Linked DNA regions of Oryza sativa Japonica Group. The protein of the gene in region 1 binds, or shares a complex with, the protein of each later gene. Links are inferred from orthologs where the notes say so. Each region holds a gene or a part of one and is shown in the gene's direction. Other genes may lie near its edges.

What was found.
Region 2: histone-lysine N-methyltransferase EZ1 (region 1) and histone-binding protein MSI1 homolog share a complex: the UniProt entries of both Arabidopsis thaliana proteins name them as parts of the plant homeodomain / polycomb repressive complex. The link is inferred for Oryza sativa Japonica Group from reciprocal best matches to the Arabidopsis thaliana genes SWN and MSI1.

Annotation. Positions count from the first base shown.
Region 1 is NC_089037.1:11,010,190-11,014,627, reverse strand, and holds the start of histone-lysine N-methyltransferase EZ1, read left to right. Parts: upstream 1-1,530; 5' UTR 1,531-1,588; coding exon 1,589-1,639; intron 1,640-1,726; coding exon 1,727-1,837; intron 1,838-1,958; coding exon 1,959-2,296; intron 2,297-2,870; exon of another isoform or gene 2,871-2,875; coding exon 2,876-3,034; intron 3,035-3,652; coding exon 3,653-3,737; intron 3,738-3,855; coding exon 3,856-3,993; intron 3,994-4,112; coding exon 4,113-4,160; intron 4,161-4,311; coding exon 4,312-4,383; intron 4,384-4,438. UniProt on the Arabidopsis thaliana protein: Polycomb group (PcG) protein. Catalytic subunit of some PcG multiprotein complex, which methylates 'Lys-27' of histone H3, leading to transcriptional repression of the affected target genes, mainly abscisic acid (ABA) responsive elements.
Region 2 is NC_089037.1:25,484,469-25,487,546, reverse strand, and holds the end of histone-binding protein MSI1 homolog, read left to right. Parts: coding exon 1-153; intron 154-999; coding exon 1,000-1,124; intron 1,125-1,445; coding exon 1,446-1,541; intron 1,542-2,109; coding exon 2,110-2,338; 3' UTR 2,339-2,498; downstream 2,499-3,078. UniProt on the Arabidopsis thaliana protein: Core histone-binding subunit that may target chromatin assembly factors, chromatin remodeling factors and histone deacetylases to their histone substrates in a manner that is regulated by nucleosomal DNA.

The DNA of each region.
Region 1 (4,438 bases):
AAGATGCTCCGAGCTTCGGAAATGCTTCCACACTATGCATACATGTCAATGAGCACTGTCATGACATAAACATTGGGCCCCAAGTCCTCCTCAGCGATAATCCTATGCAGCCACTTTCCCAGGGACAAAGCTCCAAGCTGTGCACACGCTGAAAGAGAGCTAGAAATGATGATTGGATTTGGTCACACGCTAAGTACCAGCATTTGCTCAAAGAGGGCAATTGCCATCTCCGTCCAGCCATTCTAGGCATACCCTGGTATTATTGCTTTCCATGATTCCGATTCCGTGGTCTTCTATGGCATCGCATTGAAGGCCTTCCTTGCAGACTCCATATCATTTAACCTACAGTACAATATGGTAATTGCTGTCGACACTGGAGAATTCGCAGTAAATCCAGACTTGAGAGGACCATGTAAGCATTGATCAAGCAGTTCATTCCCAAACAGACTATACGGGATCAGTGCCAGTGCTCGAGTTTGGCTTCAATTCCAAGGCCATCAACCCAATAAACAGATTAACTGATGAACCAACCATGCAATTCGCCGAGCAAACATAGATTAAGCATTGTAGGCAACCAAATCTGGATTCTCCATCAAGTCAAAGAGACGCCATGCAGAATTCCACATCCCCGCTGTATACACCGAGATCAACCGGTCAGAACATGCTCATACTCCGCCAACCCTCTCTTCAGAACATGCTCATACTCCGCCAACCCTCTCTTCTCTGCAAGAGGCATCCTCCCCAATTCCCCATTGTTATATCTGTTGCTGGTAAGACCGTTGCCAGCGTGGTTGTGTCAGACCGAACAGACTCTGCACTCGCCATCCTCACGAACGACTCCAGGGCCTCCGAACCAGGAAGCCCGGCCGGCCATCAGCGTGTTCCACATAACGGTATCCGGCGACTGCACAGTGTCGAACACCTTGCGTGCGTGGTCACCTCTGGACAGCATGAAGCGTACAGGCTACAGCTTGGCCAATGCGGACGCCACGAACGTGTCGGCGGCGTAACCCGCGCGTGCAGCGCGCCGCGCGCGGGCTGCGGAGTCGGTTGGAGACGACACGCCGCCGCCATGAGAGCAATGAGCGAGGTGGCGGCGAAGGCGAAGGAGAAGTAGTCGAGGCAAGCGGAAGAGAAGGCGGCAGCGGAGAAAGCGATCGGGGCGGCGGAGGAGGTGGGTGGGAGGGAGGGACGCGTAGCGGAGGTCGGAGGAGGAGGGAGCTGAGGTTTCCGGGGCGGGGGTCGAGAGGGTAGTGTACGGAGGCGAGGGACACGGCGAGGATCTGGTCGAGGTAGCGCAGTGTGAAGGAAAGCGCGATGAGGCGGAGGGCGCCGGCGAAGAGCGGCGCGGCGGATAGCGGGAGGAGGCGGCGCCGGCGGGGTCTCATCCGATTGGAAACAGATTGGGAAGGGGGAGGGGGTAGGAATACGTGGCGTCGGCAGTATTAGGTAGAGAGAGAAACCCTTTCCATCCTTTGTCTCTTAGCCCCGAAGGAGAGAGAAAAATCAGAAAAAAAAAACCCTCCGCGTGTGGGGGAAGCAGAGCTCCGGACGCTGGCGCCGCTCGCGCCACCGCACCCGCACCGCCATGGCGTCGTCCTCGTCCAAGGCCTCCGATTCCTCTTCCCAACGCCCCAAGGTGCGCGCCCTCGCCTCAGTCTCGACTCCCCGCGCCCGATTCCCCACTCCGATCTCCTTCCCCAATCTGATCGGCCTCGCTGTGCAGCGGCCGGATCAAGGGCCGTCGGGCAAGGACGCGGCCGGCCTCGTCGCGCTGCACGGGAAGCTGGCGCAGCTGAAGCGTCAGGTCCAATCCACCCGCCTCGCCGCGATCAAGGCAAGCGCCCGCCCGCCGATCACGCATCTCTACAGTTTCAGCTCGCAGGGGGAAGTGTGAGTAGTCGGTTGGATTTTGCTCAATCTGGCGTGGATTGGTTTGGTTTGTGGTTTTTGAGCAGGAGAGGGTGGAGGCGAACAGGAAGGCGCTGCAGGTGCACACGTGCGCTCTGTTCGACGTCGCCGCGGCGGCGGAGGTGGCGTCGCGGGGCGCCGAGGGCGGCAACGCGCTGTCGCGGGGCGCGGCGGAGGGGCACCGCAGGTTCGTGGGGTGGGACTCGGCGAGCGGGCCGGGGGAGAGGGAGTTGGTGCATGTGCAGGAGGAGAATCTGGTCGCCGGGACGCTCGTGCTCTCGAGCTCTGGTGGTAGCGGCGCCTCGCATAGGACCGTCGTGCAGCTTGTGAAGCTGCCTGTGGTCGACAAGATTCCGCCCTACACCACGTGGATCTTCCTGGACAAGTATAATGCTTCTACACGCTCATTGTTCCAATCAGATCACTTGTCGCTAGGTTCTTGAACTTGCAGTTTAAGTTTTACAAGAGTTCAGGAGAAGTTGGTATATTGCCATGTAATACTTCTTAAATAAAAAGTAGGGTATGCCATGTAATGCACCTAGATATGATATTGTGGAAAATATACTACTCAAAATTCACTTATGATGCATGAAGCAAAATTGAACTATTTACCCATACAAGCCATAGAAACCAGACAACATTTTCAGACAGATATTGCAAACTTGGGACTAGTAGAAATATTTGGAATATAAGTGTTAGCTCAAACATTACACTCAGGTAGTGGTGTTCATGTGTTTTTATGTTTGCTGATGAGCGAGAGCACTAGTTTGTGTTAGGATGATGGTCAGTTTGAAAAGATTCAGCTACTTGAACGATGTGTCATGCTACTTATCTTCAGTTTATTTGCTTGATTAATTCCAAAGTGGTATTTATTTTCTCATATACGTGCTGCATTGGTGTAACAAAGAATACTTGATCCCTGTTGTATTCGATATTTTACTCTGGTTTAAACAACACAGCGCAGAAACCAAAGAATGGCCGATGATCAGTCAGTTGGTAGGAGGAGAATTTACTACGACCCAATTGTCAATGAGGCTCTGATCTGCAGTGAAAGTGACGATGATGTTCCAGAGCCAGAGGAAGAGAAACATGTTTTCACAGAAGGAGAAGATCAGCTAATATGGTAAAAACCTGGACATTCAAGAATTCTCTCTTTTTTTTTCATTGAATATGCTGTGATTTTTCCCAATCATGATATCTTTCTGTTGCATTTTCTTTTCAATAAAATGATTCAGATCTAAGTTAAACATGGAAGAAGGCCCAGAGCCATGAACTTACATTAACATAACAAACCATCCGTGCAAAGTTAGTTGCGCTGTGCAGTTGTTTTACTCAGTCTGCATGATTAATCCACCTGTTTTCTACCTTAAGGATCGTGCATACTCTAAGAGCTTCCAACCTTCATGTACCCTGTTAATTCTGAAATGTAGGTGGAAGGTAATGTGTTGTATTAAATCATCTTTTTAGGATGGATCAACGGATGCCATTTTAATTTAACCAATGCATTATTGGTGAAATACTGGCTGGTTTGACTTTACACTTCCAGTTGTGACAATAATCTGTAACCCAAGGGCACCCTTCTTTTATTTACCTTTTACACAATATAATCAGAATAACAATTTCTATTATAAATTATACTGGTAAAAATCGGTAATCATCCCAATACTATCCGCTACCTTCAGAATAAATAAACATTTTTATATGTAAATTTATGTCTATCTGATCTTGCTTAACTATACAGGAAAGCTACTCAAGATCATGGGTTAAGTCGAGAGGTTTTAAATGTCCTCTGCCAGTTTGTTGATGCAACTCCTTCAGAAATTGAGGTTGCCCATTTCTCTTTTATGAACATTTTAGTTCGTCATTACTATTTTTTTTAACTCTGCAGCTGTTTTTTATTATCCTACAATGTGATCATGACTCTTATTCCGATCAAAATACTAGGAAAGATCAGAAGTTCTTTTTGAGAAATATGAGAAGCAGTCTCAATCTTCTTACAAGACAGATTTGCAACTTTTTCTTGACAAGACCATGGATGTGGCTTTAGATTCTTTTGATAATCTCTTCTGTCGGAGATGTTTGGTATATTATACTTCTGGCATTCTGTTGCTTACAGTTCTTTTTTGAATTCCATGTTTTAAACCCCTTTGTTCAACTACATTCGCAAGGTCTGAATTACTTGTTGATATCTATTTATTCAGGTTTTTGATTGCCGTCTCCATGGGTGCTCCCAGAACTTGGTATTCCCTGTAAGTCATAAGTTATTTCCTGTTGGACTCTTGTAAAGTTTTGATCTTTCTACTTTGCTCATCCTATCAATGAATGGAGGCTGTTGTCCTGCCATTTGGTCCAAAGTGAAATTAAAAAAATACCGCTAACTACTAACCTTTTGCTTACCAGAGCGAGAAGCAACCATATGGTCATGAACTTGATGAAAACAAGAGACCGTGTGGCGATCAGTGCTACCTTCGAGTATGTGCCCCCTCAAGTTTTGCAGTTATATCAATTAATAAAGTTGTTTATGATT
Region 2 (3,078 bases), about 14 Mb from region 1:
TATCATGATGGTGTCGTTGAAGATGTTGCCTGGCATTTGAGGCATGAATACTTGTTTGGCTCAGTTGGTGATGATCACAATTTGCTAATTTGGGATTTACGTTCTCCTGTGTCTACTAAGCCTGTACAGTCTGTGGCGGCACACCAGGGTGAGGTAAGTATCCTTTTGAGCCTTAAGTCTCCATTTTTATGTGACGTCTGTTGGCACTACGAGAGGAATGTTATTATGTCATGGTTAGCAATTTGTGTGGTCTGTTTATTTGTTCTTGCTCGTTAAGTGAGCATGATTATGAATTACTGGTGCAAAACTGAGTATTTTTGGCTTCAATGTTTTGATCATTCTACATTCTGTCTTCAATGTTGTTTTCAGACAAAATCAGATCTCATTTTGATTTTCATGTTGACCTCTGTGTTGTCCAAAACAGTCCTGTTCAGTTTTTTTTTTAAACGTGCCTTATCTCTCATAGTTGCACTCTGATGCTTTCTAGTCTTTACCTATTTGTATTTGCAGGATGTTTTGTTGTACGCACATTGCTTAGTGTTCTCTCCGTATAGTATTCTGGATGAGCCCTTTTTTTTATTTCTGTTTTCCAAAAAAAAGAAAGAGAGAAAGGAACCTGTGTTTACTGTATTTGCATGTCTATTGTCATCTTAGTGGTCAACAGTGGATAGTGGATTGATAGCAGTTTGGCTCTGGTGTTGCGGGTAGTGGGCACTATTCTAATGTGATTTATAGAAAGCGTTTAAATTTAGAATTATATATATGCACAGATATACTTTTGTGTCAATCTAACATGACAAAACTACATATATATATTGACTTAAAAAAATTCAAATACAACTTGCAAAAGTTCTTTTTGGCATTTATCTCAGCATGTATGGTTGCATAGAGGACATCATATACTTCATTTGTGTTTCTTAATAATAAATACTTTAAGCACATGGCTCCCTAAAAATGGTGCAAATTAGTTCCTTCTTTTTAATGTATTGTCTTTTGTAGGTGAATTGTCTGGCTTTCAACCCCTTCAATGAATGGGTTGTTGCAACTGGTTCAACTGACAAGACCGTGAAACTATTTGATCTTCGGAAGATTGATACTTCCCTACACACCTTTGATTGCCACAAGTAAATTTCCAGTAATCCAATGTTAATACTCCCTCCGTTTCACAATGTAAGTCATTCTAGCATTCCCCACATTCATATTGATGTTAATGAATCTAGAGATATATATCTATCTAGATTCATTAACATCAATATGAATGTGGGAAATGCTAGAATGACTTACATTGTGAAACGGAGGGAGTAACTTTTTTGTTTAACACTGCTTCCTCTTTACCTGCCAAAATAACTTTTATCAAAGTATAGCGCACCTGTTTCACTTTGTTGTTCATGCTTTGCCTTTTGTTATCATTACTGGTTTTAAACTTGTAAATATTTCATAATCAGGGAGGAAGTATTTCAAGTTGGATGGAGCCCAAAGAATGAGACTATACTTGCATCTTGTTGTCTTGGCAGAAGGTTAATGGTCTGGGATTTAAGCAGGTAAAAGTCTCAGCTTTCAAGAAATTTTCCAATGCGGTTGGTATTTTTCACATCCTCTGGTGCACAATTTTTTGGAGATTGCATAGTCCTGGGTTTTCTTCTGGATTGGGAACGATAGTGAGCATGGCTCACATTTCAATGGTATAAGTGATACTGTTCATAACTACTTCCTTGGGATTCATAGTCACAGGAAATGGACTCGGTGGCAGCATTCCTCGACCTGGGAACGCTGTCCCTTTCCTGGGAATGTGGGGACATTTTCGTCCCCACCTTGTAAAATCCTCTGGCAAGTAGTATCCCATTGACCTGGGAACTTTGTAACTATGCTTGGGAATACTTGACGCCTCTGTCCCAAGTGTACTTCTGCACTAGGATGTCACATCCTATATTATATTTGTTTATTTTGGGACACATGTAGTATGTCACCATCTTTTGTGTAGAATTGTTGATGTTACACCTTATCTTGATCTTACACTCCACCTTGTATCTGTTCATTGGCTTTCTACTTTTAGTACCATGTGCCAGCCATGTAAAATTCGTTTTCTGATTGACGCCTTGTGTTTTACAGGATTGACCAGGAACAGACACCGGAGGATGCGGAAGATGGTCCTCCGGAGCTCCTGTTCATTCATGGAGGCCATACAAGCAAGATCTCCGACTTCTCCTGGAACCCGTGCGAGGACTGGGTGATTGCTAGCGTCGCTGAGGACAACATCCTTCAGATATGGCAAATGGCAGAGAACATCTACCATGACGAGGATGATGTGCCGACTGATGACCCGGCCAAGGCTCCCTGAAAACCTCCGGTAGGAAAACCAAAAATGAACAAAATAAAACCTTAACTGTGTGACTTTAGGTACCCTCCTTTGTTGTAAGTTGTTGGCCTGGTTGGCAGTTTACAAACAGAATGTCAGTCGTAATACATACCAGTTAGCAACCCGTCTGTCATTGCCGTTGTCATTTCTTTGTGTTGTATCCCTCAATTTATGCTATGACGCTATGCTGAGGCCACGGGGGTTGTATATGACTTCATGCTTAGGGATTTTAGCATTGCTTCAACGTAGGGATTTAAACGTGCTAGATTGGGTTGGTCAAAAAAAAATTAATCCTTTTCTGAAACGGGTTGGGTTGGTCTTTGATTTAACTTCACCCGTCAGATCAATTTCGTGTATTGGTTTGTTAGGATATAACTGTACTGGAGTTGCATGCAGAAGTTCTTCCAAAAAAAAACTTTTGTTGGGAATTGGGATTAGCTTGGTGCCTGAGTAATTAAGCTCTCAACTATATCTTCTGTGCCAACTACATGGTGCACAGGCGATTAGTTTAGATCTGCTCCATTTCATGAAGTATTGACGAATTGCGTGTGTTGGATATTCAGCTTGTATCTCATTGATTGCATTGATAAATCCATAATAGTATAAGTTACTTCCAAAGATTTATTTTGCAACTGTATACACTGTTCAGTTCAGTTGAGCACAACTGTTTTAATTAAAAACAAATTTGTTTTAGACGTAGTGATGTTATGAGCCACAGCTTA